4 linked regions of the Struthio camelus genome follow. The protein of the gene in region 2 binds, or shares a complex with, the protein of the main gene of each other region. Links are inferred from orthologs where the notes say so. Each region holds a gene or a part of one and is shown on either strand. Other genes may lie near its edges. The genes, in order: NHP2, WRAP53, TERT and GAR1.

The links.
Region 1: WRAP53 (region 2) and NHP2 share a complex: the UniProt entries of both Homo sapiens proteins name them as parts of the telomerase holoenzyme complex. The link is inferred for Struthio camelus from reciprocal best matches to the Homo sapiens genes WRAP53 and NHP2.
Region 3: WRAP53 (region 2) and TERT share a complex: the UniProt entries of both Homo sapiens proteins name them as parts of the telomerase holoenzyme complex. The link is inferred for Struthio camelus from reciprocal best matches to the Homo sapiens genes WRAP53 and TERT.
Region 4: WRAP53 (region 2) and GAR1 share a complex: the UniProt entries of both Homo sapiens proteins name them as parts of the telomerase holoenzyme complex. The link is inferred for Struthio camelus from reciprocal best matches to the Homo sapiens genes WRAP53 and GAR1.

What each region holds. Positions count from the first base shown.
Region 1 is NC_090954.1:9,665,308-9,672,289, reverse strand, and holds NHP2 (H/ACA ribonucleoprotein complex subunit 2), read right to left. Parts: upstream 2,921-6,982; 5' UTR 2,871-2,920; coding exon 2,720-2,870; intron 1,824-2,719; coding exon 1,754-1,823; intron 1,679-1,753; coding exon 1,573-1,678; intron 800-1,572; coding exon 674-799; 3' UTR 504-673; downstream 1-503. Other genes in the region: BRD8 (bromodomain-containing protein 8), read right to left, coding at 4,070-4,082, 4,213-4,443, 5,173-5,241, 5,674-5,760, 6,322-6,467. UniProt on the Homo sapiens protein: Required for ribosome biogenesis and telomere maintenance. Part of the H/ACA small nucleolar ribonucleoprotein (H/ACA snoRNP) complex, which catalyzes pseudouridylation of rRNA.
Region 2 is NW_027182724.1:72,248-79,890, forward strand, and holds the start of WRAP53 (telomerase Cajal body protein 1), read right to left. Parts: upstream 3,001-7,643; 5' UTR 2,966-3,000; coding exon 2,944-2,965; intron 2,623-2,943; coding exon 2,559-2,622; intron 1,717-2,558; coding exon 1,618-1,716; intron 1,011-1,617; coding exon 902-1,010; intron 176-901; coding exon 87-175; intron 1-86. Other genes in the region: uncharacterized protein, read right to left, coding at 4,657-4,766, 6,900-7,038. UniProt on the Homo sapiens protein: RNA chaperone that plays a key role in telomere maintenance and RNA localization to Cajal bodies. Specifically recognizes and binds the Cajal body box (CAB box) present in both small Cajal body RNAs (scaRNAs) and telomerase RNA template component (TERC).
Region 3 is NC_090943.1:71,164,735-71,171,971, forward strand, and holds the start of TERT (telomerase reverse transcriptase), read right to left. Parts: upstream 3,006-7,237; 5' UTR 2,649-3,005; coding exon 2,421-2,648; intron 1,154-2,420; coding exon 1-1,153. UniProt on the Homo sapiens protein: Telomerase is a ribonucleoprotein enzyme essential for the replication of chromosome termini in most eukaryotes. Active in progenitor and cancer cells. Inactive, or very low activity, in normal somatic cells.
Region 4 is NC_090945.1:24,424,726-24,432,131, forward strand, and holds the start of GAR1 (H/ACA ribonucleoprotein complex subunit 1), read right to left. Parts: upstream 3,006-7,406; 5' UTR 2,679-3,005; intron 1-2,678. Other genes in the region: PLA2G12A (group XIIA secretory phospholipase A2), read left to right, coding at 3,210-3,432, 4,293-4,369, 4,959-5,124, 6,159-6,277. UniProt on the Homo sapiens protein: Required for ribosome biogenesis and telomere maintenance. Part of the H/ACA small nucleolar ribonucleoprotein (H/ACA snoRNP) complex, which catalyzes pseudouridylation of rRNA.

The sequences.
Region 1 (6,982 bases), on a different chromosome or scaffold from region 2:
CCCCCCCCAACTCCAGAATGGTATAACCCAGCCAGGCCCCCTCCACTAGGGGAAAAAAGCTCATGCTCCCCCCCCCCTCGCACAATGGTCTAATCCTAGCCCCCGCCCTCCCCTAGGAGCTAGCTCATACCCCCTCCTTGAGAATGGTTTAATCCAGCCCCCCAGAATGGCTCCCGCTAGCGACGCCTACATAGGCGCCCCCCCCTCCCCCCCCGTCCAGGAAATGGTTTCTCCCGCCCCCCCCCCAAGCGCTCAGCGCCCCCTGGCGGGGCGGCGGCGGCAGCGCTGCCCCCGTCCCGGCCCCTCCCGGGGGTCGCGGCCCCTCCCGGGGGTCGCGGCCCCTCCCGGGGGTCGCGGCCCCTCCCGGGGGTCGCGGCCCCTCCCGGGGGTCGCGGCCCCTCCCGGGGGTCGCGGCCCCTCCCGGGGGTCGCGGCCCCACACTTGCTCCCTACGAGGCTCTTCACTGCCCTCCCCCGCCAAACAAAGCACACCGACCCACCTACTACAAACCCCTCAGATGCCTTTATTTGCCCCCCGCCCCAGCACTCCCCACGCCGCCCGCTCGGCCGCGTGGTTACAAACCCCGCGCTGGGGCCCGGCCCCGCGAGGAGCCCCCCAGAGCCCGGCACGGCTGCCCCGCGCGCCCACGGGCGCTGCCAGTCCTGGCTGTCCCTCACAGCGGGAGGGGAAGGGCCTCCACCTCCTCCAGGCACTCGTCGTAGGCCTCCTGGTACTCCTCGTGCGGCTTGATCATGATGACGCAGGTCGGGCGCTTCGAGCCGGCGGCAGCTCCCAGGTCCTGCGGGGACAGAGGCTGTGGGCGATGCTGCAGGGCACCGGCCCACCCCGCATGTCCCGCTGTCCTGCCTTTACCCCCTGTCCAACACGGGGCCAGAGGTTCTCCCAGCTTCTCAGGTCCAAACCCCCTTCACTTGTGCTTGCTGTGAGAAGCCTCCCCCAGCTTGTCTGTAGCTCCCGGGGGCAGGATGAAGGGCTGCTGTTTGCCAGAAATGCCTGGGCACCTGGCCTTACGCATCTGTGCTGTCCGTGAGGTGAGCAGGAAGCCAGAGTTTGAAAAAGTCTGAAGGCCTGTACAGGTTTGAAGCCTGTATAGGTGGTAGTGGGTAAAACCCCAAAGGCATCAACTCTCCTAATGCCTACTCTAAAAAAAAAAAAAAAAGGATGTCTAATAAACACAACAACTTAGCTACTGCCTCATTCCTGAAGCCTTCAGGTCACCAGCTCAGAAGCAAGTGGGGAAACCCCCTCCAGGCTCTGCCCTGGTGCAGTCCAGCACCAGTGCTGCCGCCAGAGCTTCTCTACAAGGGGAAAAGATTCTGCAGTTCCACAATAAAACCATCCTAAATCTGAGCTGTGACCCTCCGTTCCTCTCTTGCCCCGAGAACAGACGAGTGCTGGTGCTGGAGTGTCACCAAGGGCCTCCTTTACCCAAAAGCCATATTTGTGCCTGCCCACGTACGGCTGCCTGTCGCAGCATGGTTGGGGCTGCAGCCTGCCAGTTTGCTGCCCCAGGACTCGGGTGCCCCCTGCTCCACAACCTCATCCCCTTACCGATTTGGAGGGGACGTACGCGTAGGGGAGGCTCCTGTCCTCGCACATGATGGGGATGTGGCAGTACACCTCGATGGGCAGCGTGTCGCCAGCCAGCACTGTGATCCTGCATGGGAGAGCCCGCGTCAGCCGCCGCCGCGCCGGGCTGCGCCGGGGGCGGCGGGGCCGGTGGAGCGCTTACCCCTTCTCGCCCTTGTTGATGAACTTCTGCACCTCCTTCACGCCCCGACGGATCTGCTTGTGCTTGGCCGCTGCAAGACAGGCACGACTGTGACTGCGGCTGTGCCGCACTGCCCCGGCCTCGCCTCCCCCCCATCAGGCCACAGCCGGGCCCCTGGCACCCTCCATCACCCTCCCGGACCTCCCGGGGCCCCAGCCGGGCTCCCGACACCCTCCACCACCTCCCCCCGGCACCCTCCATCACCACCCCCCAGCCCCCAGCCGGGCTCCCGACACCCTCCACCACCTCCCCCCGGCACCCTCCATCACCCCCTCCCCCAGGGGCCCTGCTCGGCCCCGACACCCTCCATCACCACCCCCCAGCCCCCGACCAGGCTCCCGACACCCTCCACCATCCCCCCCCCCGACATCCTCTATCAACCCCCTCCCGGGACCCCGGCCCGGCCCCCAACACCCTCCATCATCCCCCCGACCCCCCCAGGGCCCCGGCCTCGCCCCGACACCCTCCATCACCCTCCCGGACCCCCAGGGGCCCCTGCTCGGCCCCGACACCCTCCATCACCCCCTCCCCCAGGGCCCCTGCTCGGCCCCGACACCCTCCATCACCCCCTCCCCCAGGGGCCCTGCTCGGCCCCGACACCCTCCATCACCCTCCCGGACCCCCAGGGGCCCCTGCTCGGCCCCGACACCCTCCATCACCCTCCCGGACCCCCAGGGGCCCCTGCTCGGCCCCGACACCCTCCATCACCCCCTCCCCCAGGGGCCCTGCTCGGCCCCGACACCCTCCATCACCCCCTCCCCCAGGGCCCCTGCTCGGCCCCGACACCCTCCATCACCCCCTCCCCCAGGGGCCCTGCTCGGCCCCGACACCCTCCATCACCCCACCCCGATCTCGACACCCTCCATCACCCCCCGGCCAGGCCCCCGACACCCTCCATCACCCCCTCCCCCGGGGCCCCGGCCCCACCTTTCTTGATGCACTTGTAGAGCTTGCGCGTCAGTTTGCGGGAGGCGAGCGGCTGCGCGATGGGGTTCAGGTTGCCCAGCTGCTCCCGGTACGAGCGCTCCGGGCCGCCCTCCGCCTCCGCCGCCGCCTCGGCCTGCTTCTCGCGCGCCATGGCCGCGCCGCACGCGCCGCCGCTTCCCCTTCCGGGGCCGCCACCAGCGGGACCCGCCTCCGGCCCCCCCCAGCCCGCCAATCGCCGGCGCCCCTGCCCGGCCCGCCCCCCCCAGCCCGCCGGCCAATGGCGAGCGGGCTCCTCTCCCGCCCAGCCGGGGCGCGTTCTGCGGGAATCCCCGGGGAAGCCCTCCCGGGCGGGGCCGCGCAGCCGGGGCTCCCCGGGGTTCCGCCGCCGGCCGGCCGGCCCCCCCACCCCGGGTTCCCCCCCGCTGCCCGCCATCCCTTGCCCGCCATCCCTTGCCCTGGGGATCCCCCCGCCCGCCTCTCCCCGGGGTCCCCCCTGCAGCCCGCCATCCCTTGCCCTGGGGATCTCCCCGCCCACCTCTCCCCGGGGTCCCCCCCCCGGCCCGCCATCCCTTGCCCTGGGGATCCCCCCGCCCGCCTCTCCCCAGGGTCCCCCCTGCAGCCCGGCATCCCTTGCCCTGGGGATCTCCCCGCCCACCTCTCCCCGGGGTCCCCCCCCCGGCCCGCCATCCCTTGCCCTGGGGATCCCCCCGCCCGCCTCTCCCCAGGGTCCCCCCTGCAGCCCGGCATCCCTTGCCCTGGGGATCCCCCTGCCCGCCTCTCCCCGGGGTCCCCCCCGTGGCCCGGCATCCCTTGCCCTAGGGATCCCCCAGCCCGCGTCTCCCCGGCGTCCGCCCTGCAGCCGGGGCTCCTCTACCAGGGGCGCCCCTGTCCGCCCTCCCCTAGAGCTGGGGTGTGGGGGTCCCTCTCCCCACCATGCACAGCACGGGGGTCAAACACAGGCTGGAGCAAAGTTTACTTTACAACATCTGCCTTTACTGGCAAACAACCGCGGCCTCCCAGACGCTGGGATGATGAAGGGCAGGGATGTCACAGGTCTGTGACCAGTCCTCCCCCAGTTGAGGCAGAACAGGAATGTTCAACGCTAAATCTACACCCGAACTTGAACACAGCAGTGCTGTAAACGTACAGTGAAGGCACCTAAATAGCAGAGCTCTTCTGCAGCACCAAAGTTGTATCAGTGAGACATTTTGATAGGGGTGGGCCCAGATTCACCTCAGCTGATAATGAAGATTATTTTCCCCCTTTTTACTCATTGCAGGGATGTGCTGCTTTTCCCACCAAGGACGAAGGTTTCTCTTCCAGCTCACCTCCTAGCAACTGCTTTGTTCTTTATCCCATCAACCTGTCAAGCACCACAAAGGGGTAACTAGGTCTGCCAAAGGCTGCTCTGCCACCAGCCGATCTCAGCCAGGGACAGAGCTAGGGAGACAACGCTGCTCCGAAAGAAACAGGCCTCAGACGTGGTTTGTTACCTTCTCCCCCAGCCCAGCCTGTCCCCAGAGCACAGGAGGGCTTCACCCAGCATTTGCAGCTGCTCCAAGACCTCTTGCTGCATTTCCACAGCCATGCGGTGTACGTGGTGGGTCACGCTGTTGTACATCACTGCGTTCTGGAACATGAGCATGAGGTCACGCTGGAACTGGGCACTGGTTTGAATGTGGCCCTTCGACAAGTTTCTCTTTATGCTGGTTAAATCCATGGGTCTACAAAAAACAAGCCAGAGCCAGGCATTCTTCAGGCTCTAAATGAACTTGCTTATTTTTTTTTCAGCGCGCAGCTATATTCAATCAATTTTATTGCTCATGACAGAGGGGGAGAGTGAGAAATGTTTGTCTTCTAAGTCAGACAAAAATAAGTTTAGCCAATGCGACACTTGCCATCCAATCAACTTCGCAAGCCACTAGCAATTACATCTGAAAAAAGTTTGATGTTGAGCTCCAGAGAATGCAAGCAGAGCGAGTCTAGTAATTAGTCTTTGTGAAGTGAGCCCAGGTCTTAGTGGAGAAAGAAAAGGAAGATACTAAAATAGGTATCTATTAAAACCCCCTAAAATCGAATGGTGCCACTACCAAAAATAGCAGTGCTGGCAAGTGGAACATGATGGAGAATAAATATGACTTCTCTTATTTTGACAGAAAAAGAAAATGAATGGCTGCAGAGAGGACAACTGTGACCAGAATAGAATATGATTCAGCTCTGAAAAATACCCTTAATCTATCTGGGAAATATTCTTACAATCCACTTCTCCACTGAAAGTAAAACATCTGGGCAGAGAGCAATGGGCAAAAGAGGGCTTTGACTGAGGCACCTTTTCCCAGCTACATGGGGAGTAAGAGAGTGTCGGGCTGCAGAGGCAAGTCTCCTACTCAGGCAGGGGCAGAGCTGCAATAGTGACAGAAATCAGCTAGAGAAGACTTATTCCACAAACTCACCTCTTCACCACATCCTTGTAGCCAGGGGCTTGTTTGTCTGACACTGCCTTCAGGAACGGGCCACTGTATCTACAGGGGCAAGCACAACAAATGACCTCTGTATGTCTCCAAGCGGAGGGCTGAAGGCAACATTGCGACATGGACCTATGCTTGCCTCTCCCTGCTAGCCATGAGCCTATTAGCAACACTCAAAACTTCAGTGGCTGGCACAGCCAGGCACAGGAGGAGGCTGAACCTCTTGCTGAACCTGGCTGCAGCAGGAAGCAGCAACTGGGCTCCTGAATGCACAGCAGCTGCCACGTTAACCAGAGGAAGTAAATATGCAGAGTCTTCTCTCCAGCCTTGCAGCACACAGCTGTCCCTGCTGCAACGACAGGGGGAGAGAGGCCAGCCTGCAATGGCAATCCTAAAGGGGAGGAGAGGGCCTAGTGACAGGGGGGTTGGAACTCAGGACAGCATGCACAGGAGCCAGGCCAAGCCCAACCCCTCATCCCCACACACCTGTGACTGGCTATCATCTTCCAGATGGACAGAAGAGTCCTCTTGAAGAGCAAACGTTGCAGGGGGTTATCCCAGCTCAGCTGCACCCTGCAGAGGGAATATACTGTCAGGTCATCACGCTCAAGACAAATGACGGGACATTTCCTTTGCTAGGGCCCAACGCATCCCCTTGGACAAAGCTCACCGATCCTTTGGTGTAGCTACATAAAGCATCATGGGGTGAGATGGTGGAAGCATGTTGCATCAGAATTCAGGACTTACTACCCAAGACACAGGAAGACGGAGGCCAATAGATAGAAACAATAGCCAGGCTGAACAGCTCTAAAGAGCAGGATCAAGCTGTCGGGTTTTTCATTTGGTTTCTCATCCCAAGAAACCACCTTTTTCCTTCAAAAGTCAGCCCAGGTAAGCCCAGTGGCAGAGCCTACATGTGACATGCATACATCTGCCTAAAGGGGGCTACCAGTTTCTCTCACCCCAAAACACTAGCAGTCCCACAGAGATAGCACAAGTTACCTCTTCCCTCCTGTTCTCCTTGGATATCTCACCTTTCTCAAGGTGACTTATGCCATATACTTGCTCTCATGTAGGCCCAAGGAAACAGCTCTGCTCTGCTGCCCCTGCAAGAGGGCAGACTGAACTACTTACAGCTGTGTGGAGGCAGGAGTTGTGGACCCCAGGGGGGAGGCTGCAGAAGTGCTCTCTCTATCATCTTGATGCAGGGGCTGATTGCTCTTCTCTTGCGGACACAGCTCGCCTGCAGCTTGTTCCCCAGATGCCTCTTGAGCCTCGTCCTGAGGAACAGAGAGGAAAAATGAGAGACAGCTGAAATGGCAGCCCATCCCCTGGAATCCTTTATCTAGAAGCCAGCCTGCTGTACATTCCCTAACTGTAGCCAGCCTCGGATAGGAGCTGGCACTTTCTGTCCTATTCTGGAGGATGATGTTTGACCTAAGCTATTCACATCTTCATCATGCTGCCCAGGACTTTAGTAACACCTGGGTCTGATCTCTCAGATCATAACCACCTCTAGCTAGTTCAAAGGACTGTGGTGCTGACTGGTCCCCAGTGTTGTGTCAGTCTTCTTGTCTGCAGAGAGTTATGGATGAAGAGGTAAGACTGCCTTGAGACACAGACAAAAGGAACCTCTAGAACCCAACAGGGTTGTTTCCTCACAGACTCCCACACTGACCATGATAGAGAACAGATTCAGCCAGCAAAGAAACTGGTGCTGTTGACGCAGTGATTTACCAGTACAGGGTGAAAGATGCAGGAAGAGAGGATTTTTTTGGAGTCCAGAAGTGGAATT
Region 2 (7,643 bases):
CCCCACCAGTGCTTCCAGTGCCCCCCCAGGGCTCCCAGTAACCACCAGTGGGCTCCCCCAGTGCTCCCAGTGCCCCCAGTGCTCACAGGCAGGAGGGGGGCCGGGCCGAGCTCATCCCCGGCAGCCAGCAGTAGTCGTAGACGGTGTCGCCCTCCGGCACCCGCAGCGCCGGCACCTGCGCCCGGACGCCTGGGTCCCTCGCCCGGCCCCCCCCCCCCCCACGGCCCCCAGGGACCCCCCAGAGGCCCACGGGACCCCCCCAAACAACCCCCGGGACCCCAAAACACCCCCCAAACACCCCAGAGACCCCCCAACACCCCTGTGACCCTCCCCAGACACCCCCGGGACCCCCCAAACATCCCCCAAATACCCCAGAGACGCCCAAATACCCCCAGGACCCCCCCCAAACACCCCCCAAACACCCCAGAGACCCCCCCCAACACCCCTGTGACCCCCCCAGACACCCCCAGGACCCCCCAAACATCCCCCAAATACCCCAGAGACCCCCAAATACCCCCAGGACCCCCCAAACACACCCCAAACACCCCCAAACACCCCCAGGACCCCCCAAACATCCCCCAAATACCCCCCAAATACCCCCTTGGACTCCCCCCAAACGCCTTGGGACCCCCCCCCAACGCCCCAGACCCCCAAATACCTCCTGGGACCCCCCCAAACACCCCAGAGACCCCCCCAACACCCCTGGGACCCCCCCCAACACCCCAGACCCCCCCAAATACCCCAAAATACCCCCCCAACACCCCTGGGACCCCCCCCACATCCTTGGGACCCCCCCAAACACCCCTAAATACCCCCTGGGCCCCCCCCGTTGCCCCCAGGACCCCCCAGAGTCCCCCCCAAGGACCCACAAAGACCCCCCGGACCCCCCCCGGACGGGTACCAGTTCGGGCAGGGCCCCCCCCGGGCCCCCCCCCAGGGCGGGCGGCAGGTCGTAGATGCGCAGGGTGTTGTCGTTGCTGCACGTCAGCAGGCAGGAGCCGTCGGGGGCCCTGCGGGGCCCAGGCGTCCGGGCGGGCTCGCGGCACCCCTCCAGCTCCCCCCCACAACCCCCAGGGGCCCAGGCGTCCGGGCGGGCTCGCAGCACCCCTCCAGCCCCCCCCCACAACCCCCAGGGGCCCAGGCGTCCGGGCGGGCTCGCGGCACCCCTCCAGCCCCCCCCCACACCCCCCAGGGGCCCAGGCGTCCGGGCGGGCTCGCGGCACCCCTCCAGCCCCCCCCACACCCCCCAGGGGCCCAGGCGTCCGGGCGGGCTCGCGGCACCCCTCCACCCCCCCCCAGGGGCCCAGGCGTCCGGGCGGGCTCGGGGAACCTCTCCAGCCCCCCCCACACCCCCCAGGGGCCCAGGTGTCCGGGAGGGCTCCCTCCAGCCCCCCCACACCCCCCAGGGGCCCAGGCGTCCGGGAGGGCTCTCTCCAGCCCCCCCACACCCCCCAGGGGCCCAGGCGTCCGGGAGGGCTCTCTCCAGCCCCCCCACACCCCCCAGGGGCCCAGGCGTCCGGGCGGGCTCGGGGAACCCCTCCAGCCCCCACGAGGGGCCCAGGCGTCCCCGGCCGCGCCCCCCCCCGCCCCCACGAGGGGCCCAGGCGTCCGGCTCACCACTTGCAGCCCTTGAGGAAGTTCTCGGGCCGGCGGCCGTACTCCTGCCGCGCCTCCGCCACCAGCCGCGGCGGGCGCTGCAGCTCCGCGGGGGGCGGCCTGCGGGGCCCAGGCGTCCGGGACCCCCCCAACACCGAGGGCCCAGGTGTCCGGGACCCCCCTCAACCATCCCCGGGGGCCCAGGCGTCCGGGACCCCACACACACACCCTCAGGGGGCCCAGGCGTCCGGGACCCCCCCCACACACACACAACCTCAGGGGGCCCAGGCGTCCGGGACCCCCCCCTACACCGAGGGGCCAGGTGTCCGGGACCCCCCTCAACCCTCCCCGGGGGCCCAGGCGTCCGGGACCCCCCCCCCACACGCACCCCCAGGGGGCCCAGGCGTCCGGGACCCCCCCCCACACGCACCCCCAGGGGGCCCAGGCGTCCGGGACCCCCCCACACACACACCCTCAGGGGGCCCAGGCGTCCGGGACCCCACCCACACACACACCCCCAGGGGGCCCAGGCGTCCGGGACCCCCCCCACACACACCCTCAGGGGGCCCAGGCGTCCGGGACCCCCCCCCCCACACACCCTCAGGGGGCCCAGGCGTCCGGGACCCCCCCCACACACACACCCTCAGGGGGCCCAGGCGTCCGGGACCCCCCCCCCCACACACACCCTCAGGGGGCCCAGGCGTCCGGGACCCCACCCACACACACACCCCCAGGGGGCCCAGGCGTCCGGGACCCCCCCCACACACACCCTCAGGGGGCCCAGGCGTCCGGGACCCCCCCCCCCACACCCCCAGGGGGCCCAGGCGTCCGGGACCCCACCCACACACACACCCCCAGGGGGCCCAGGCGTCCGGGACCCCCCCCCCACACACACAGGGGGCCCAGGTGTCCGGGACCCCCTCACACCCCCCCCAGGGGGCCCAGGCGTCCGGGGCACTCACAGCTCCTCCTCGGGCTCCTGGGGCTCCGCGGGGCCCCCCCCCTCGGCGGGGGGGTTGTCGGAGGCTGCGGGGGGGGGGGTCAGTATGGCTACGGGCCCAGGCGTCCGGGAACCCCCCCTCTCCCCCACCGAGGGCCCAGGCGTCCGGGACCCCCCCCCCTCCACCGAGGGCCCAGGCGTCCGGGACCCCCCGCCTCCACCGGGGGCCCAGGCGTCCGGGACCCCCTCACACCCTCCCCAGGGGGCCCAGGCGTCCGGGACCCCCCCCCTCCACCGGGGGCCCAGGCGTCCGGGACCCCCCTCCCCCCCACCGAGGGCCCAGGCGTCCGGGACCCCCCTCCCCCCCACCAGGGGCCCAGGAGTCCGGAATCCCCCCCCACACACACCTTCCTCCATGGGGGCCGCCATGACAGCCGAGGCCCCGCCCCTCCCGGCAGGCACCGCGCGCGAATCTCGCGAGAGCGGAGCGGCCTCGGGCGCGTTTATTGGCTGAGAATCTCGCGAGACGTCGCGCCCCCTCCCCCCCTCGCCCCGCCGCGCGGCTCGATGACGTCACGCGCCGGCGCTCGCGAGAGTTTCGGCGAAGTCTCGCGAGGTTTCGTTGCTTGGCTGCAGCTTGGTGCGGGGTTGGGGGGGGCCCAGGCGTCCGGGGAGTGACGCCCCCCCCACCCACCCACACAGACAACAGGGGGGCCCAGGCGTCCGGGGAGCGACCCCCCCCCCACCCACCCACACAGACAACAGGGGGGCCCAGGCGTCCGGGGAGCGACCCCCCCCCCACCCACCCACACAGACAACAGGGGGGCCCAGGCGTCCGGGGGGCTCAGGCGTCCGGGGAGTGACCCCCCCCACCCACCCACACAGACAACGGAGGGGCCCAGGTGTCCGGGGGGCCCAGGCGTCCGGGGAGCGACCCCCCCCCCACCAATACACACAGACAATGGGGGGGCCCAGGCGTCCGGGGAGTGACGCCCCCCCCCACCCACCCACACAGACAACGGGGGGCCCAGGCGTCCGGGGGGCCCAGGCGTCCGGGGAGCGATCCCCCCCCCACAGACAACAGGGGGGCCCAGGCGTCCGGGGGGCCCAGGCGTCCAGGGAGCGACCCCCCCCTACAGACAACAGGGGGGCCCAGGCGTCCGGGGGGCCCAGGCGTCCAGGGAGCGACCCCCCCCCACAGACAACAGGGGGGCCCAGGCGTTCGGGGGGCCCAGGCGTCCGGGGAGCGACTCCCCCCCCACCCACCCCCACAGACAACAGGGGGGCCCAGGTGTCCGGGGGGCCCAGGCGTCCGGGGAGCGACACCCCCCCCAACCCCCACACACAGGCAATGGGGGGCCCAGGCGTCCGGGTGGGGGAAGATGGTGGAGCAGTGATGGGGGGTCGCCATGGTGCCCGGACGCCAGGGCCCCTCGTTGCTGCCCGGACGCCGGGGCCCCTCATGCCCGGACGCTGGGACCCCTCATTCCCCGGACGCCGGGGCCCCTGTGCTGCCCGGACGCCGGGGCCCCTCGTGGCCGGACGCTGGGGCCCTTGTGCTGCCCGGACGCCGGGGCCCCTGTGCTGCCCGGACGCCGGGGCCCGTCGTGGCCGGACGCCGGGGCCCCTGTGCTGCCCGGACGCCGGGGCCCGTCGTGGCCGGACGCCGGGGCCCCTGTGCTGCCCGGACGCCGGGGCCCGTCGTGGCCGGACGCCGGGGCCCCTGTGCTGCCCGGACGCCGGGGCCCCTCGTGGCCGGACGCCGGGGCCCTATGCTGCCCGGACGCCGGGGCCCCTGTGCTGCCCGGACGCCGGGGCCCCTCATGCCCGGATGCCGGGACCCCTCATTCCCCGGACGCCGGGGCCCCTCGTGGCCGGACGCCGGGGCCCCTGTGCTGCCCGGACGCCGGGGCCCCTCGTGGCCGGACGCCGGGGCCCTGTGCTGCCCGGACGCCGGGGCCCCTCGTGGCTGGACGCCGGGGCCCCTGTGCTGCCCGGACGCCGGGGCCCTGTGCTGCCCGGACGCCGGGGCCCCTCGTGGCTGGACGCCGGGGCCCCTGTGCTGCCCGGACGCCGGGGCCCCTGTGCTGCCCGGACGCCGGGGCCCCGGGCCGCCGGCGCTAGAGGCGGACGATGCCCAGGAAGGTGCCGTGGGCGCTGAGGTCGAAGGAGGCGTTGGCCCGCGGCACCCGCAGGCGCAGGCGGTCGCCGCTGCGCAGCCGGAACACGCCTGCAACACGCCACGCACACGCCACGCCACGCACACGCCACGCGCACGCCATGCGCACGCCACGCGCACGCCATGCACACGCCACGCGCACGCCACGCACACGCCACGCACACGCCACGCACACGCCACGCACACGCCACGCGCACGCCACGCACATGCCACGCACACACCACGCGCACGCCACGCACACGCCATGCACACGCCACGCGCACGCCACGCACACGCCATGCACACGCCACGCGCACGCCACGCGCACACCACGTGCACGCCACGCACACGCCACGCGCACGCCACGCACACGCCATGCACACGCCACGCGCACGCCACGCGCACACCACGCACACGCCACGCACACGCCACGCGCACGCCACGCACACGCCATGCACACGCCACGCGCACGCCACGCGCACACCACGTGCACGCCACGCACACACCACGCGCACGCCACGCGCACACCACGCGCACGCCACGCACACGCCACGCACACACCACGCGCACGCCACGCACACACCACGCACACGCCACGCGCACGCCACGCGCACGCCACGCCACGCCACGCACACACCACGCACACGCCATGCACACGCCACGCACACGCCATGCACACGCCACGCGCACGCCACGCACACGCCACGCACACGCCACGCACACGCCATTTGCACGCCACGCACACGCCACGCACACGCCACACACACGCCATGCACACGCCATTCGCACGCCACGCACACGCCACGCACACGCCACGCGCACGCCACGCACACGCCACGCGCACGCCATGCACACGCCACGCACACGCCACGCACACGCCACGCACACGCCATGCACACGCCACGCGCACGCCATGCACACGCCACACACACGCCATTCGCACGCCACGCACACGCCACGCACACGCCATGCACACGCCACGCGCACGCCACGCACACGCCACGCACACGCCACGCGCACGCCATGCACACGCCACGCGCACGCCATGCACACACCACGTGCACGCCACGCACACGCCACGCACACGCCACGCACACGCCACGCGCACGCCACGTGCACGCCACGCGCACGCCACGCCACGCCATGCACACGCCACGCGCACGCCACGCACACGCCACGCACACGCCATGCACACGCCACGCGCACGCCACGTGCATGCCACGCGCACGCCACGCACACGCCATGCACACGCCATGCACACGCCACGCACACGCCACGCACACGCCACGCGCACACCACGCACACGCCACGCGCACGCCACGCACACGCCACGCACACGCCACGCGCACACCACGCACACGCCATGCACACGCCACGCACACGCCATGCACACGCCATGCACACGCCACGCACATGCCATGCACACGCCACGCGCACGCCATGCACACGCCACGCGCACGCCACATGCACGCCACGCGCACGCCATGCACACGCCACGCCATGCCACATGCACACCACGCGCACGCCATGCACACGCCATGCGCACGCCATGCACACGCCACAGGGACACGGGGGAGACATAGGACGGGGGGGGGGACACATGGTTAGGGGTGATCTCTGCCCCCTCCCCAGTGCCCCCCAGTGCTCCCAGTGCTCCCAGTGCCCCCAGCCCCCCCAGTGCCCCCAGTGCCCTCCAGCCCCCCCAGCCCCCCCAGTCCCCCCAGTGCTCCCAGTGCTCCCAGCGCCCCCCCAGTCCCCCCCAGTTCCCCCCAGTTTCCCCAGTGCCCCCAGTCCCCCCAGTGCCCCCAACCCCCCCCAGCCCCCCCAGTGCTCCCAGTGCTCCCAGCGCCCCCCCAGTCCCCCCCAGTTCCCCCCAGTTTCCCCAGTGCCCCCAGTCCCCCCAGCCCCCCCAACCCCCCCAACCCCCCCAGTGCTCCCAGTCCCCCCAGTGCCCCCCATCCCCCCATCCCCCCATCCCCCCCAGCCCCACCATCGCCCCCAGCCCCCCCAGTGCCCCCCAGTGCCCCCATCCCCCCCAGTGCCCCCCAGTGCCCCCATCCCCCCCATTGCCCCCCAGTGCTCCCAGTCCCCCCCAGCCCCCCCAGTGCTCCCAGTCCCCCCCAGTCCCCCCCAGCCCCCCCAGTGCTCCCAGTCCCTCCCAGTCCCCCCCAGTGCCCCCCAGTGCCCCCCGCGCCGGGGGGGTACCGGCGGTGTAGCAGGAGGCCTGGGCGCGGGGGGGGGCGGCCATGCTGCGCACGCAGCGGAGCAGCGCCTGGGGGGGCCCCGGGCGGCCGCCCCGCTCCAGCACCTGCCCCATGGCGAAGGTGGCGTCCGTGAACAGCACCTGCCCCCCCGGGCCCCCCCGCGTCAGGGCGGCACACGCGTGTGCACACGCACGCACACGCACGCACACGCACGCACGCGCACGCACACGCACGCACACGCATGCACACGCCTGCACCCGCTCCAGCACCTGCCCCATGGCGAAGGTGGCGTCCGTGAAGAGCACCTGCCCCCCCGGGCCCCCCCGCGTCAGGGCGGCACACGCGTGTGCACACGCTCGCACACGCCCGCACACGCACACACACGCATGCACAGACATGCACACGCCTGCACCTGCCCCATGGCGAAGGTGGCGTCCGTGAAGAGCACCTGCCCCCCCGGGCCCCCCCGCGTCAGGGCGGCACACGCGTGTGCACACGCACGCACACGCACGCACACGCCTGCACACGCACGCACACGCACGCACACGCACGCACACGCATGCACACGCCTGCACCTGCCCCATGGCGAAGGTGGCGTCCGTGAAGAGCACCTGCCCCCCCGGGCCCCCCCGCGCGTCAGGGCCGGCACATGCGTGTGCACACGCACGCACACGCCTGCACACGCACGCACACGCCCGCACACGCCTGCACCCGCTCCAGCACCTGCCCCATGGCGAAGGTGGCG
Region 3 (7,237 bases), on a different chromosome or scaffold from region 2:
ACTTCCTCTCAATGTATACTCCAGAACGCAAGATTGTATTTGGCAATTTCTTTCCCAAAAGATCTACGGGACTTTCCAGCCTTCTGTATTTTGAAGAAATACCTTCCCTTGGTTTCATTTGTACAGAATCCACCTGAGATTTATACATATGCATCTCTATGCCCTTTCTATTTGATTCTGCTTGCATTTCCATGTTGGACTTAACAGGTCTGTTACTTTGAACTCCTTGCAGAAACGCACTCTCATCTGCGACAGCTTTCTCCTTCCCATCATAAGATTTGCGAAGTAAAGAAGGGCCAGGCATATCACTGTCACTTCCTCTAGCAGCGTACTTTTCTTCAGTAAGATTTACAGAATGTGATGCGATGTACTCAGTTCCATACCTCGTGGAACTACTTTGGTTTATGCCAGGACTGTGATTCCAAGCCTCTTTCTCTGGTGTTTCCTCCTCTACTTTTGCTCTCTTAGCTGTAATTTTAAGTTGTTCCCTATCAAGCTTCCTTTTCAAGGACAGGGCTGTAGCTGATGAAGATAAACCTGGGCTAATCTGATTTTCCAGATGTTCAGTTACCATTCTGATCTGTTTGCTTGCTTTAAAATCATCTTTAGACGAATATGCCAAACTGGATCCTAAGCTTTGTATTTTGTTATTTTTTTGATTTCCCTTGCTGGAGACTTGAACTGCAAGTCTTCGTTTACATTTCCACCAGTGAGATTTTGAAAGATACTCTTTATGAAACATAAGCCTCTTTTGCATATAGTCAAACAAGATATTACGTCTATGCTTTGAATATCTTTGTTTAACAAACACTGGAGACGATTCTACATTATTTGAAATAAGTTCATAAATGGGTTGCCCACAAACTTGATAGCAACTACTAGGGGGAACCAGCATAAAGATTGCACAGTGTTCTAATAAATACATCATCACATCATCCCCTATCCTGCTCAGTAATGTTTCCCATAGGCCACTGATACGAAGAGTTTCTGTTGCGGTATTGGGTAGGTAGCTGCATATATTTGAAGACGGCATGATTCGGAAGTGAGAACTGTTTTCATCCAGTAAGGAATATCCATACGCAAGGATATTCTTCTTTCTTTTTTCACATAGCCTCTGAATAACTCTTGTGATGACTTCACTCTGACTAGATAACTGAAGAAAGAAAGAAAAAAGGAGAATTACTTTTTATGGACTCTTCCAAACGCCACAACATACCCTTTAAATGAACAGACATGCAACATACAGAGTTCTAGCCTTGAGCTTTAGATTAAAGCTTTTCAAAGCAATATTAATGAGGCAACAGTGCCCTATTAGAAAAAAGATTTTCAAACATATCACAGGATTAAAAAAATAAAATCATCAACCAGAGACTATGACTTTAGGGAAGTCTTTTTAACTTCTGCTCCTTTGATCCTGGTTTTCATGCCAAGGGAACACCCTATGCTACTCCTCTCATCTTTCTCAGCAGTCCAGACTCCAAGGCTTTCAGGTCACTCTGCCCCACGCTACGCACATGCGCAGACCATACCACAGCAGGGATCTAACACTGCCTTTCTGGGGACCTCCAAGTGCTAATGTAAAATAAACAACTTCTAGTGAGTATTTCAGCTCACGTTTTTAAAAAATACTCCATAAGCTTGCAACATTCGTTTTGTGCAGTAGCACAACTTTGCTCAGGCGCACAATAGCTCCAAGAGAAACTCGTCTTATTCCTCTTGGAAGAGTTTTTTCTGCTTAAAAAAGGATTGGAAAATAATTCTTTCTCTCTTCTTCTCTATCCTCTAACAGAGGTAAAATGGTGTTTTTTCATTTCTAATTGCTCCCCAGACATTTTGGAGGGGGAAGGGGTGTTAAATGCTTCCCCACAGACCAAGCACAAAGTCAGGGAGTCCCAGACACACAAATCTTTCGGCTTATCTAACCACGGGCCAGCAGACACTAAGATTTTGCCCGTTCACCCCCTAGAGGGAGGGGAAAGGGGGATAAGCCCCACGCAGGCTAGAGAAAAATTTAACTTCCATAAACCAAACTTCATTCTGAGGCGAAGAAGAGCAAGGGGACCAAAGGAGACGACCAAGCGAGCAGGCGCAGCCAGGAGGCAGAGCCACGAGGAGACAAGCGTGGCCGCCCGCTGCGCACACACACGCATGGAGGACAGGAAAAGCATGACGAGCCGCGGCACCGCGGAGGGCGGCAGCCCCAGGAGCCCTCTCCCGCGGCCGCACGCCAGCGAGGCGGCAGGCAGCGACGGGGGGCAACGGCCACCAACGGCCGGCGCTGACCGTTGGTGCGGGCGAGGCTGCCCGCGCGGGCGGGCGGGCGGCTTCTGCTCGGTGGGGAGGGCTGCAACGCAGGTGCCGCTGCGCAAGCGGGCAACGGCTGCCTCCCCCTCCCACCCCCCCTCCCCGCGCCCTCCTACCTGCTGGAAGGTGAAGGGCCGCGGGATGGAGCGGGCTCCGCGGGGGACGCACACCACGCACTGCGCCACGAAGGTCCGGTAGCACGGGGCGTCGTCGGCCCGCAGCACCTCGGCCTCGCCGGCGCCGCTGTCCCGCAGCCGCTGGATGAAGGTCTCCAGCGGGGCGGTCTCGGCGTAGCAGCCCCGCAGGGCGGCCAGCGCCGCCGCGAACGGCCCCGCGCCCGCCATGTTGTGGCGATGGAGCACGCCGCCACCTGAGGCGGCCCCGCGCCTTCCTCCCTCACCTCCTCCCCCGTCGCGCTTACGCTTCAGCCGCTGGCTGAAGCACTGCAGGAAGCTGTGAGGGGCTGTTGCTTCTTTAAAAAAAAAAAAAACCTTATTGCTAAAAAAAAAACCAACCCAAAAAGCAAAAAAAAAAAAAACCGCGCTCGCACAAACACCCCGCAGCTGCTGCGGCCAGGTGCCGCAGGCCCCCCGCGCGGCCTCCGAGGCTGCGCAGAGGTGATGGGCGGCGGGCCGGGCCGGGCCGGGCGGGAGGCCGCTGTCCAGCCCCGCAGCTCCTCACCTCCTCCAGCGCCGTCTAGTGACCCGAGGAAGGCGGGCTGGGGTGAGGGGGCCAAGGCACCTCCTGGGGCTGAGAGTGAGCCACGAGGAGGGCCGAGTGCGCGGAAGGCGCAAGCCCGCGGGATGGGGGGATGCTTTCACGCCATGGTTGCTCTCCTTCTGGGCCATAAACTCGTGTTATCGCACTCATTTTCCCCCTTGTGAGACCGAGAGTCCTTAAAGACTCGTGCAGTTTCCAAAGTAGCAGAAGTTGGTGCAGAAAGCAGGAAGCAAGGGCCTATGGTTAAAGGTGCATTGTGAGGTGGAGCACTAGCACCAGTTACCTCAAACTCGTGGCATGACTTTTGACCAGGCATTTAGGCTTTTATTTTCGGACAGCTTTGTAGCATCTGGCTAATTCGTGCTGTGCGTTTCCAGGTTGCCTGGGATAGCCTGAAATACTGTCACGAGAGGTGCTGAAGAAAGTTTTGAGAGAGTCTTGCTGGTTTACTAAGGTAAGTTTCCCATGGAAGAAATGAGGAAGATTCCCATCACAGAATCCCTTTTAGGATGGGGACACAGTAGACGATCTATCTGAAATTAAGTAACTGTAGAAGAGGTTATGGTGCAGATGAGCAGAGTAAATCCTAACACATAACCAACTTGCTGGTCCTGGGAGTCTTATCAAATTCAGGAATGAAGCAGCCAAATCACTAGTAAGTAGTGTTGTTCTTACTCAAACATTTCCTTGATACCTGAAGACTGCATGCTGGCAAATTTGATGCCAGACTTTTAAAAAGGGTTTGAATGGGGTTCTGGGGAACTACAGGCCTGTAAACCTGATGGTTTTTTGGGGTAAATTAGTAGAAATAATAACAGAACATAAAATTACTAGATGCTGGGAGAAATACAAGCTGCTCAGTCAACATGGCTTCTGCAAAAAGAAGTTCTGCCTTAAAAACCTCCTGGGGTTCTATGGATGCTTGAGAAGACATGAAGATTATGATAATATAGTTGATATAGTCTGCTTGAATTTCCAAAAGCCTTTGTAAGGAAATGTTATGAATAGAAAAATGAAAGAAGGAATGTGCTGATATGGATAAGAAACAAAGGTAGAAATAAATGGTCAGTTCTTTCAATAAGGAAGGCCACCACCAGAGATCCACATTAGTTTGCACTGTATAACTTTCATAAATGACTCAGAAGTATTGTAAGTAATCAGTAAATGGCAAAATTTGCTGATTGGATGAAGTTATCCAAAGCAGCAAGGACACAAGCAGAGTATAAACTTGCAGAAGAACATTATAAGACTGAATGATTGAGCAATTACATGGCAGTTGAAATTTAATGCTGATAAATGTCAAGTGTGGCATAGAGGTGAAATACATTCTTAGTTTCATATATAAAATTATGGGCTCTGGGGTGATTAGTACCACTCAGGATTGAGACCCTGAGGTTATAACAGTTCCATGAAAAAATCAGCTTTATGCGCAGCAGCAGCCAGTAAAACAAGTCAAGTATTAGGAATGATTGGGGAAGGAATAAAGAACAGCAAGAGGACATCATTATGCCATTGCATAAATCCATGGTTTGCGACAGCTTGAGTGCGGTTGTGCGATTCTGGCCTCTACTTCTCAGAAAAGATGTACTAGAGTTAGAAAGGGCTCAGGGACCAAAAGTATGGAACAGCTTCTATATGAGCCATGAGAAGGTAGGCTGGAAAGGGGAAGAGGGATAACTTGGTGAGGAAGGTTAAATGCTGCATGCCACAATCCATCTCCTGAAGCAGTTGGATATGTGACCAAAGGTGCCCTGAGCCCAGCGGTCTTCCAGGAGCTGGAGTTCATCACGCTTCTCTCAAAACGTGCTGCAAAGGGATAGAATGCCAAGATCCTTTTCACCTCCGACTCTCCTGCTCCAGCTACTCTGTCATACCGATCCCTGCCATGCAAAAGAGACTCTGGGACTCTGACTGCCAAGACACGTCTGCTGTTAAAGCTATGCTCTTGGCCCAGTGGGCTGTAGGTGTTAATATTAACAACTGCTCCCTCCACATGGACAGAGATGGGTAGCAGGCCACGTGGCACAAGTTCAGCAAATCCCAAATCAGCCCCTTTGAGCAAAGGTCTAGGCAGGACAGAGTCAGCAGTCTACCAGATACATTAGTGACGTGAGGTGACTGTCTTCTAGTTAGGCTTCCTGGCTGGATTGCTGTGAAATCTCCTGCAGCAACATGATAGTGTTCTCCCCTTCCCAAAGACTGAAGAGTACCTGGCCCTTATGAGGACTCACCTGGCAGCTCCCAGTGTGGAGAAGGTTGTTTCATTAGGTGTTTCATTAGGTGAAGTTAGTGGCCCTGTGGCCAGGGACAGTGCTGCCCCTGATACGGGTGGTGCTACACAGCAAATAGTTCTCACCAATGGCAGGGATAGGGGTGTAGAAACTGTGGCCCTGCTGAGACAGGACAGTGTACCTTCCTCTCCTTCAGTGAGGACCGCAAAGACCTCAGAGTGAGGTCAGCATCCCCCTGCTCTTCGAGGACTGGCTGTACCTTCTTTCTAAAGCATTAAATCTCTTACAGGCAGCAAAGCAGCTCTTCCCTGTTCATCATCCTGGCTGAGGTGTCCACTCCTTCTTAGCACCTTTATAGCCTTTAGATTGAGGCATTTCTGTGTCACTCCTTGTTCAGCACTGCCTGCATGCCACGGACTGCCATGCATCCCTGATGCAGATAGGCACCAGATGGGTACCCCCAAAGGAGGGAGAGTGATAATACTAGAAGGCTTCAAAGGACCTCAGCAATGCTGTAATGGAGAGGTTGCACAGACACTGCAGACTTGGGCAAGGGGACAGAAGTTGGCCATGGCTGTATCAGTAGCTGCACTCAGGCAGGAGTATAGTTGATATCCATGATCTGACCTCTGGTGGGTATGTACTCCCCTCTCCCCCACCCCCAGATACTCCAGAGGTGATGATACCCTCAAGGTACAACCCAAGGATGATGTCTAATGCAGGCGGGCATGTGGCAGATAAGCGAGTCACCATTTCCTCTGAGGAACATGCTCAGGAAGAGAGGAGGAGGAACAGGAAGGGGTGTTGAGTGTATCCCCAGATCAAGGGCCGGTGGCAAGGACAAGGAGTCATAAATCTTGAAAACAGCAACCAGACCCCTGACTGCACCAAAAGATTCCTCCCCAGCAGCCAGGGGGATGATACTGGAGAAACCAAGGGCATGATGGTGAGGGAGACCGTCTGTGAGGTGTTGATCTGTAGGTCTTGTTGAAGAGGTGGACAGTGGTCTAGGTCTTTCCACCAGTGGGACTTTCTTAGAGGGTGCAACCCTAGCACCAATGCACAAGGAAGTAATGGGATTTTGGTGATAGTGGAGGATGAACCCAAAGCTGAGGACGTGCTGGTTGCAGGTGAGGTTGTAACTACTTGACTGTGTGCTCTGGGGGTGGTACATCCATGTCCCCAAAGCTGGTGATATGCTCATGGCAGATAGTTGGGTTGCAGGTGCTGCTGTAGGCCGAATTTCTGAGGAGGGCTTTTAGTTGTCGTTTTCCTGGACCCTTTCTGCCAGCTGGTGGTAGGTTCCAAAGTAGGTCCTTACCGGTGCGTCTTGCTGATGCCTTCTTGGCAACAACCACATCAAGGGTGTGAGGAGAGAAGAGGACTGCTGTGGCCAGGCTAAGGGGATCTCTTTATTCCTGTTTCTTTTCATAGGCACTACCCTGTTTTTCTGTGTGCCTACCACTAGGCTGGGGAGAGAATCCAGGAGGGAGAGGGGGAATGAAGTGTCATAGAAAAGGGGATAAGTTGATTTTTAGGAGGCTGAATAAAGAAAAGAATAGAATAACAGAAACAGCTGTTCTGTAGCTGACACTGGAAAGAGCCTCTGGAGATCTCTAATCCAACCCCCCTGCTCAAAGCAGGGTCGACTAGAGCCAGTTGCTCAGGACCTCATCCAGTTGAGTTTTGAATATCTCCAAGAATGGAGGCTCCACAACCTCTGTAGGCAACTTGTTCCAGTGTTTGACCACCCTCAGAGTGAAAAATATTTTTATGTTTAGTTGGAATTTCCTGCATTTTAATTTGTGCCCACTGCATCTTGTCCTGTCACTGGACACCACTGAGAAGAATTAGGATCTGTCTTCTTTACATCAGGCATTTATACATTTTTGACAAGGTCTCCCTGAGCATTTCCTTATCAAGGCTGAACAATCCCAGCTTCCTCAGCATCTCCTCATATGTCAGATGCTCCGGTCCCTTAA
Region 4 (7,406 bases), on a different chromosome or scaffold from region 2:
AATAATAAGTGTCTTTACTATAAAGTTCTCTGTGCCTATATAGTTCTGGTACTTCAACAAACGCAAGTAGGGTTTTATGGCATATAAGTGTATCTATAAATATATATCAAATAAATATAAATATATAAAAATAAAGTATATAGATGATACTTAAGTACCTAATTAAAATTCTACAAAAACAAGTTACAGATTTTAGGTTAAAAAGGAACACTGTCAGTCATAAAACAACAGATTCTCAGATTAGCAAGAGCTTCTTACACCAATATGCAAAACCATGAAACAGTAGTGCTAAGAAAGAATACCATCCTTACAAGGGCCTGACCCTGCACAGTAAAGCTAGGGGGAGTTTTGCCACTGCTCGAACTGATACAGAACCGGACAAACACAAGGGACCACCAACAAAAAGGAAGCATGAAGCAGAAAGTCCTTCTGCTTTCACCGACCCTTATGTTAAAGATTGTTAAGTTCTGCCCACATCACTGTCAGGAAGCCTGTACTGGAGCAGGGCCCAAAGGACCACTGCATAATCTGCATATTTTTAAACAAAAGTGCTAGTGCCCAGTATAAGAAAATGTCAATCTCTGTAGAAACAGGCTCACATCTGGCAAGACTAATGCATACAAGGAATTATGCAACAGGCCCTGAGTCAGCTAGAAGACAGGCTAGTGTATACATACACCTGTGCTTTTAGAAGTGCCAGAATTTTTGGACTGGTAATCTCAACACAAAACTGGCAAATGACTTCAGAACTATCTCAGTCAGTTCCATGAAACTGCTAGGTAATTTTATAATATACTTCACTTGATACTAATTTATAAATGTTTTTAATATATAATTTAATTTATTCCTCTCAATTAATTATCCTGTTAAATGATACATGTTCACACAATATGATTTTTTTTTTTTTTAATAATTCACCACTGTCTGCTCTGGACTGCACTGTTACATTTTCATTGATTTATTTTTTACTTCTTCCACTGTACGGACCCTTCCAATTATCAGTAATGAAAGTAAGGGTATGAACCGCTTCCCTTATCCTGCCGACAACGGTCCCTATTTAGAAAAATATTTAAACATATTCCTGCAAAAGAACTACTTTCCTGAATCAGGGTCTTTGTAGAGTAATAGTAGGGGAAAGCTAGTTTTGCAGGACAAGCGTATGAAGAGCTCCCTCTTTTGTTTGATTTAATTAACTTCTGCCAAAAACTTTTTCCATCTATTTCTTCAGTAGCTGTAAATAATATTAAGTGCTGAGGCTGAAAAGAAAAATCAACAGAATATTTGTCACGTGTCTTTCTGCCCTGCCTCTTGGTCTGGGAGTCATTCAGTTTTCTTTGCATTTCCTGCTCTTCTTTACAGTTTGCCCTGAAAACCCAGTATTACTATGCTCTGAGGGATTTCATACATCTTAAAATAATGCTTTCTTCACAAAAATTAAAACAATTCCTACATGGTTCCACTTTAGCTCATCTAAGAAACATCTGGAATTTAAATATAAAATTAATACATATAAAAAATATCTAGAATGTTTTGCAAACGAGTTCATTTTGGCCTGATTTTTCTTCAGCAAAAGACAGCTGGATTTTTAATGTTTAATAGATAGATTTCAATTTTGCCCTCTTTTACAACACCAACTTGCGCATCTGCTGGTGTTCCCTGAAAATGAATCACTCCTATGTATAAAAGGTCACAGGATCACTTTCACACTTCACAGCATCATAAAATTATTTAAAATTTTAGAACATTCAAAATACATAGTCTTTGTTGCACATGTATCTCTAAATGAGTACGTTTTCCTAAAAGTAATGTTTTTCTAGCGCTTATTAACACAAAGTTATTTCCCTGACTGTACAGAAGGAAAAGGGAATGTGGCTTTGAGCACACTGCTCACAGGGGACAGTGTTTGTTCAGAGCAACCAGGCTTAGGAAGCCTTGATAGGGCCGGAACAAACCTGCTCGTCCTCCCATTCAAACCAATGGCACAACCTCGGAATGGCAGGCTAGAAAATCAGCTTTTTTCAGATGTTTTTCCCCCCCCTCCCAAAATAAGCTTTTTTTTTTTTTTCCAAAAACTATTGCTGTGTCTTTCACGTTTAGCAATGCCAGGATTGCCCTTTCTAACACAGTCACCAAGGTTTTCTGAAATAAGTGTCCTGAGGTTTTGTACGCTGCAATAGTATTGGTAACCTGAGCAGGCCCTGCTCAGCCAGCGCCACCATGTCCTGTGCTATTGGCAGCCAACAGCGCTCCTGTTGCATACCTGGTTTTGAACAAGCTCTCCTGGAACGGGCACTGTGACCTGCTAGAGCCTTTCTCCAGTGGAAACGACCTGTGTTGCAACTGGCTAGGTGCTAAGGCACATTTTGCAACGTCCCATCTTGCCATCCTACCAATTGTTTTCGCTACAGAGAGGACGGGCTCCGCAGTTGTTATCACTTTTTTCCTCTTGAGGAAATCATTATGATTTTCATCTCTCTAACCCTCTCTGTAGTCCTCTCTCGAAATACGGGACTGTCAGTAGGAACACAGAGAAGGGTGTTTCTGCTCTGCTTAAATGGCTCCTTGAGGGAGGACTACCCGCCACAGACCCCCCAAGTCGAGCAGCGAGGCGCGCCAGGCACAACGCACAGACACGCTCGCGCCCTCACCAGGGGTTTCTACCTGCGCTGCAGACTTACTTTAAAACACGACTGTCCTTTCCTCCAGAGGAGGAACCGGGAAACGCCTCCAGCAGGCTCCAGCCCTCCCGCCCGGCCGGTGACGGGCCGCCTCAGCACCTGCGGCGGGGGAGGGGAGAGGGCGGGCAGGATTTCTCAAAATGGAAAACCAGGAGGCGCTTCGTACCTCACTGGCAACGCCCACACGTTTCAGAAGCGAGGCCGTGGCCCGAAAAAACAAAAAAAAACAAAAAAAAACAACAAAAAAAACCCCCTGGCCTTTACCCAAACCCACCCAGCCGGGGCAGCCGCGGGTGGGTGCGCCTCGCCCTGTCAGGGTCCGTTGGAGCCGTTAGGGCCGTTGGAGGGCGGGGCAAGGCGGGGCGGCGGAAGGCCGGCCCCGGCGGGTGGGCGCGGGGCGGGATGGCGGCGGCGGCGGCGAGCCGGGCCGGGGCGGCGCGGCGCTGCGGGAGCGGGCGGGCGGCGGCGGGGGCCTAGCGAGCGCCCGGCGGGCGCCGCTCGCCGTGGGACGTGGGACGTGGGGCGTGGGGCATGGCCCGTGCCCTGCTGCTGCTGCTGCTGCTGCTGCTGGCCTGCGCCTGGCTGAGCCCGCGGCCGCCGGCGGCGCGGGGCCAGGAGCCGCCGCAGACGCCCGACTGGCGCATGACCCTGAAGACCATCCGCAACGGCGTGCACAAGATCGACGTGTACCTCAACGCGGCCCTCGACCTGCTGGGCGGCGAGGACGGCCTCTGCCAGTACAAGTGCGGCGACGGTGAGGCGGGGCGCCGGCTGGGCGCGGCCGGCAGCCCCAACCCCGCGGCGACCGTTGCCCTGCGGCGGCCGCCCGGCGCGGGATGCTGCGGAAGGGGCTCGCGGCGGCGGCGGCGGCGGGGCAGAGCCGCCGGGCTTGCGCTTGGCTCTGCGCGGCGCTGTTTCCGCGGCTGGCGGGGCGTTTCAGGGTGGCGTCCGCCTGGCTGCGGAAGGCTCGGCCGCGACGCGCTAGCCCTTTTCCTGCCTCCACGGGAACAGGCAGTTCTCACACCTGTTTTCCCTTCTCTCTTACTTTTACTCGTGGCCTCGGTTTGTGCCCAGGACCAACATAAGGTGAAGGGTCGTTTTCTTAAACTGACTCCACGGTTTTCCGTGACCTGAGATGTGAAGTCTTTCTGTGCTACTGCGTGTTCAGGGAGGCATGACTTTGGCAGTATCTCCTCATTTAAATTTTATTGTAGCATATTCTACGTACGCTTGTACAAATAAAAAAAAACAACAATTCTAGGCTTCATTCTAGTTTCCAAAGCTTAAAGTGAAGAAAAATCACAGTAGTATTGTTGATGGCATACACAGCGTAGAGAACTCGATGGTAGGTTCATTAATACTTCAGAGAACTTGCCTGTTCTTTAATGATTTCCTGCATATCACGCGCTTAACTGGTATATCAATCTTATTAACTCGGGCTCTTCTTTTGAACTTGTTACTTGGTGAGAACTGCTGATATTCAGATGCCTGAACATAGGTTTAGTTCAAAAATACGGCGGATACTGTCATAAGCCCACCAAACACCTCAGTTTGACAGGACTAAGCTTCTGCGCAAATAAATCTATTTGAGGAATTATAAATTCCCTTTTTCAGGATCAAAGCCCTTTGCCCGCTATGGATATAAACCCTCACCACCAAATGGTTGTGGATCTCCTCTGTTTGGAGTTCAGGTAAGCCTATTTGTTCTTTGGGTTTTTTTTTTTTTTTCCTGTATGTGGTCTTTCATACATCGACTTTCCTCAGTGCAGGAGTTCTTTTCCTCCCTCATCCTGAAGATGAGGACAGCATCCACGTGCAGTGTTCCCACTTCTGTTAGCTCCAGCACATGCTTTGGTAATGTCACATGGAGAATGTTAAGATGATAAACAAATGTAGCAGAAATATTTTCATCAGTGACCTAAAATATTATAGGGATAAAACAGAGCGTTGATTAATTTCTAATCTTATGGTAAAAATGTTTTATTTTCCTGAATATTTTCAAAAGCATTGGGTAACCCTAACAGTAGCCCTCGGTTTGTGCAAGTGGAGGGTTTGACTGACTTTTATTCTCCCTGCTGACACTAATCCATTTTCCTTAATACTAGAGAGAAAATATTGATTAACTTGTTAGAGGTGAACAGCAAATCATAGAGATAAATGAATGACAGCTGAATTGATTGTATTATTAGTTTTTAATTTCTAACTTTCATATTTGTAGTATTCGTAGACTGTATTTTTCCTAGCTGGAATACCAATGGTGGTGGGGGATTTTCTTTGCAGTTTGACATTGGTATCCCTTCGATGACGAAGTGCTGCAATCAGCATGACAGATGCTACGATACTTGTGGCAATAAAAAAAATGATTGTGATGAGCAGTTTCAGTCCTGCCTCTCCAAAATCTGCAGAGATGTACAGAAAACACTTGGAATATCGGAAAGTGTACAAGGTAAGTCTGAAAAACATGTTTTTCTTCCGAAGTTTGACTGGCAAGGAGCCTTTGTGCTATACAGTAATGCCACGTTTTCATAAGCTGATGCTGTTGCTGAGAGAGGCAATCCTAGCCTTGTTCTCTCCCTCTCTCATGCAGCATTTGTATAGCCGAGCAATGATACAATGTAAGAAAGGGATCAGGATTAAAACTAACCCTGAGGAAAAAATTAATGCTCCCCTTCTGGGTATATGAAGACAGGAATAGGACTTCATACAAATGTGTGTGTAATAATTGTTGTATTTTCTGTGTTATAGTCAAGTATTTTTGTTCTACTGGATGAATTCTAAATGTATACTACATGTGATTGCTAGTAAACTGCAGAAAAATATTGAATTGTTTCCTTCTATGAAGTAACGATCTTAGAATACTATATGGTTAGAGTGCAAGCACTTAATGCTGTCCTTCAGCGCATAAATTTTAGCCCATAGCATGTTCCTTCTGATTGTCGGCCCGCATCTTGATCAGTACATTATATAACCTTGCTTTTTAAACTTGGACAATGGCACTCTTACAGTAAGTAGTTCCATTGAACGGTCAGTTTTTAGAACAAACCTGTGTTGGCACCTCTCAAATGCACGTGACTGCCAAGAAGTCATATTGTTAGTGGTTTGTGTCGGAAGCAGTGAATATTTGTTCAGTTCTGTTGAGCTGCTGTTAAAGATAGCAAGCTTGTCATAAATTGAGTTGCAAGAAGTGAGGGGTAAAGCAGCTCTTTCATCTTCCCAAGATTAAGCGATGTTTCTAACACTGATAACAATCCACTTGCAATGAATTTGCTTGCTTATTTTATTTTGGTTGGAATATGAAACATCATTAGTCACAAAATAAATGATTCTGCACTGGTTCAGTCTTTTGTTTGATGGTCTCCTTGCTATGACCAGAGAGGATCGTTTCTTTCTTAAAATCTCTTTCAGTTTGCTAGAGTCATTTCTATTAGTCTCATATTCCATTTAAAGAGTATTCCTAACTAAACTCCTCTTTTCTTGCAGCTTGTGAATCAACAGTTCAGCTGTTGTTTGATGCAGTTATACATTTAGGATGTAAACCCTACCTGGACAGCCAGAGAGCTGCATGCATGTGTCAGTATGAGGATAAAACAGATCTCTAAAGGAAGATAAGAGAGCTCATGGTATGGAATAAAGTAAAAGACTCAACTGGAATGAGGCCAGTGTTCAGTAACAAAGCTTTAGACTTTTCCGAAGGTAATATATTAAACACTGATACGAATATACTGGTTTGAAAGCCACTACGATACTCTTCTTAAAGTTTAAAACAAAAAATCAAGCCTTCCTTCTCTTCCCCCCCGCAAACCCCATGGGCTTGGAAACTGAAATTTGTTTCCTTTGGCATGTGTCTGTAAGCTCAGGGTGTGCTATTGTAAGACACTAGTATCTTTTTTACTTTAAAAAAAACTTTAAAAAAACCTTTAAAGAACTGCATAATAGGGAAATCAGAGGTGCAGAAGAGCCGTATTGAATTCTCAGATATTCTTTTAATGTAGGTCAAATTTTAGGTTACTAGAGTTGATGCATCTGATGGCTCCAACAAGAAAGACTGTTTTGTGTGAGTTTAATATGGCATCTTAAATATCCTGTACTTTCATGCGTTTGGTAGAATCTCACGGGGATAAACTGACTTCATTTCTCTCTGATGTATGCTCTTCTGTGTGAAAAAACACCAGAACAGGCCCTTAAAAAGAGCATACACCTGCACTATAGTTCTACCTGATCATATATCAAACTCACTTCTGCAGCACTTTTCAGATCAAACATGTTGATCCTTTTAAGGCTTGACCACTGAAATGAACAGTTTGCAACCTAAGGATATACTTTTGATTTGACAAAATGCTGAAATGTAGTTGCAATATTATGTTATTTTAAAAATTAATCTTAAGTGTTTATTTTTCAAATAAAACATTTTGGTGCTGTATGCGTAGATACGATATATTTGTTTCTTCAAACAGGTTGATTTATATTTGTCTAGTGGTACAACTTGGTGAATATATTATCTTTGCTTTCCTTCTGTTGGAAACTAGAAGCAAGTTCCATAGCTGTAGTCAGTGTGCCTAACAGAACCTTTTTATTTAAAATGCCCTCTGTGAGGCTGACAAACATTTGATCCTGTACTTCTGTCATCCGTTCCCTCTGTGACTTCTCTAACTGAAATCATACGATGTCTGAATTATTTTGGGTTTGTTCTCTGTACTGGTATTTCATTTCTTATCTCCAATTGTCAGA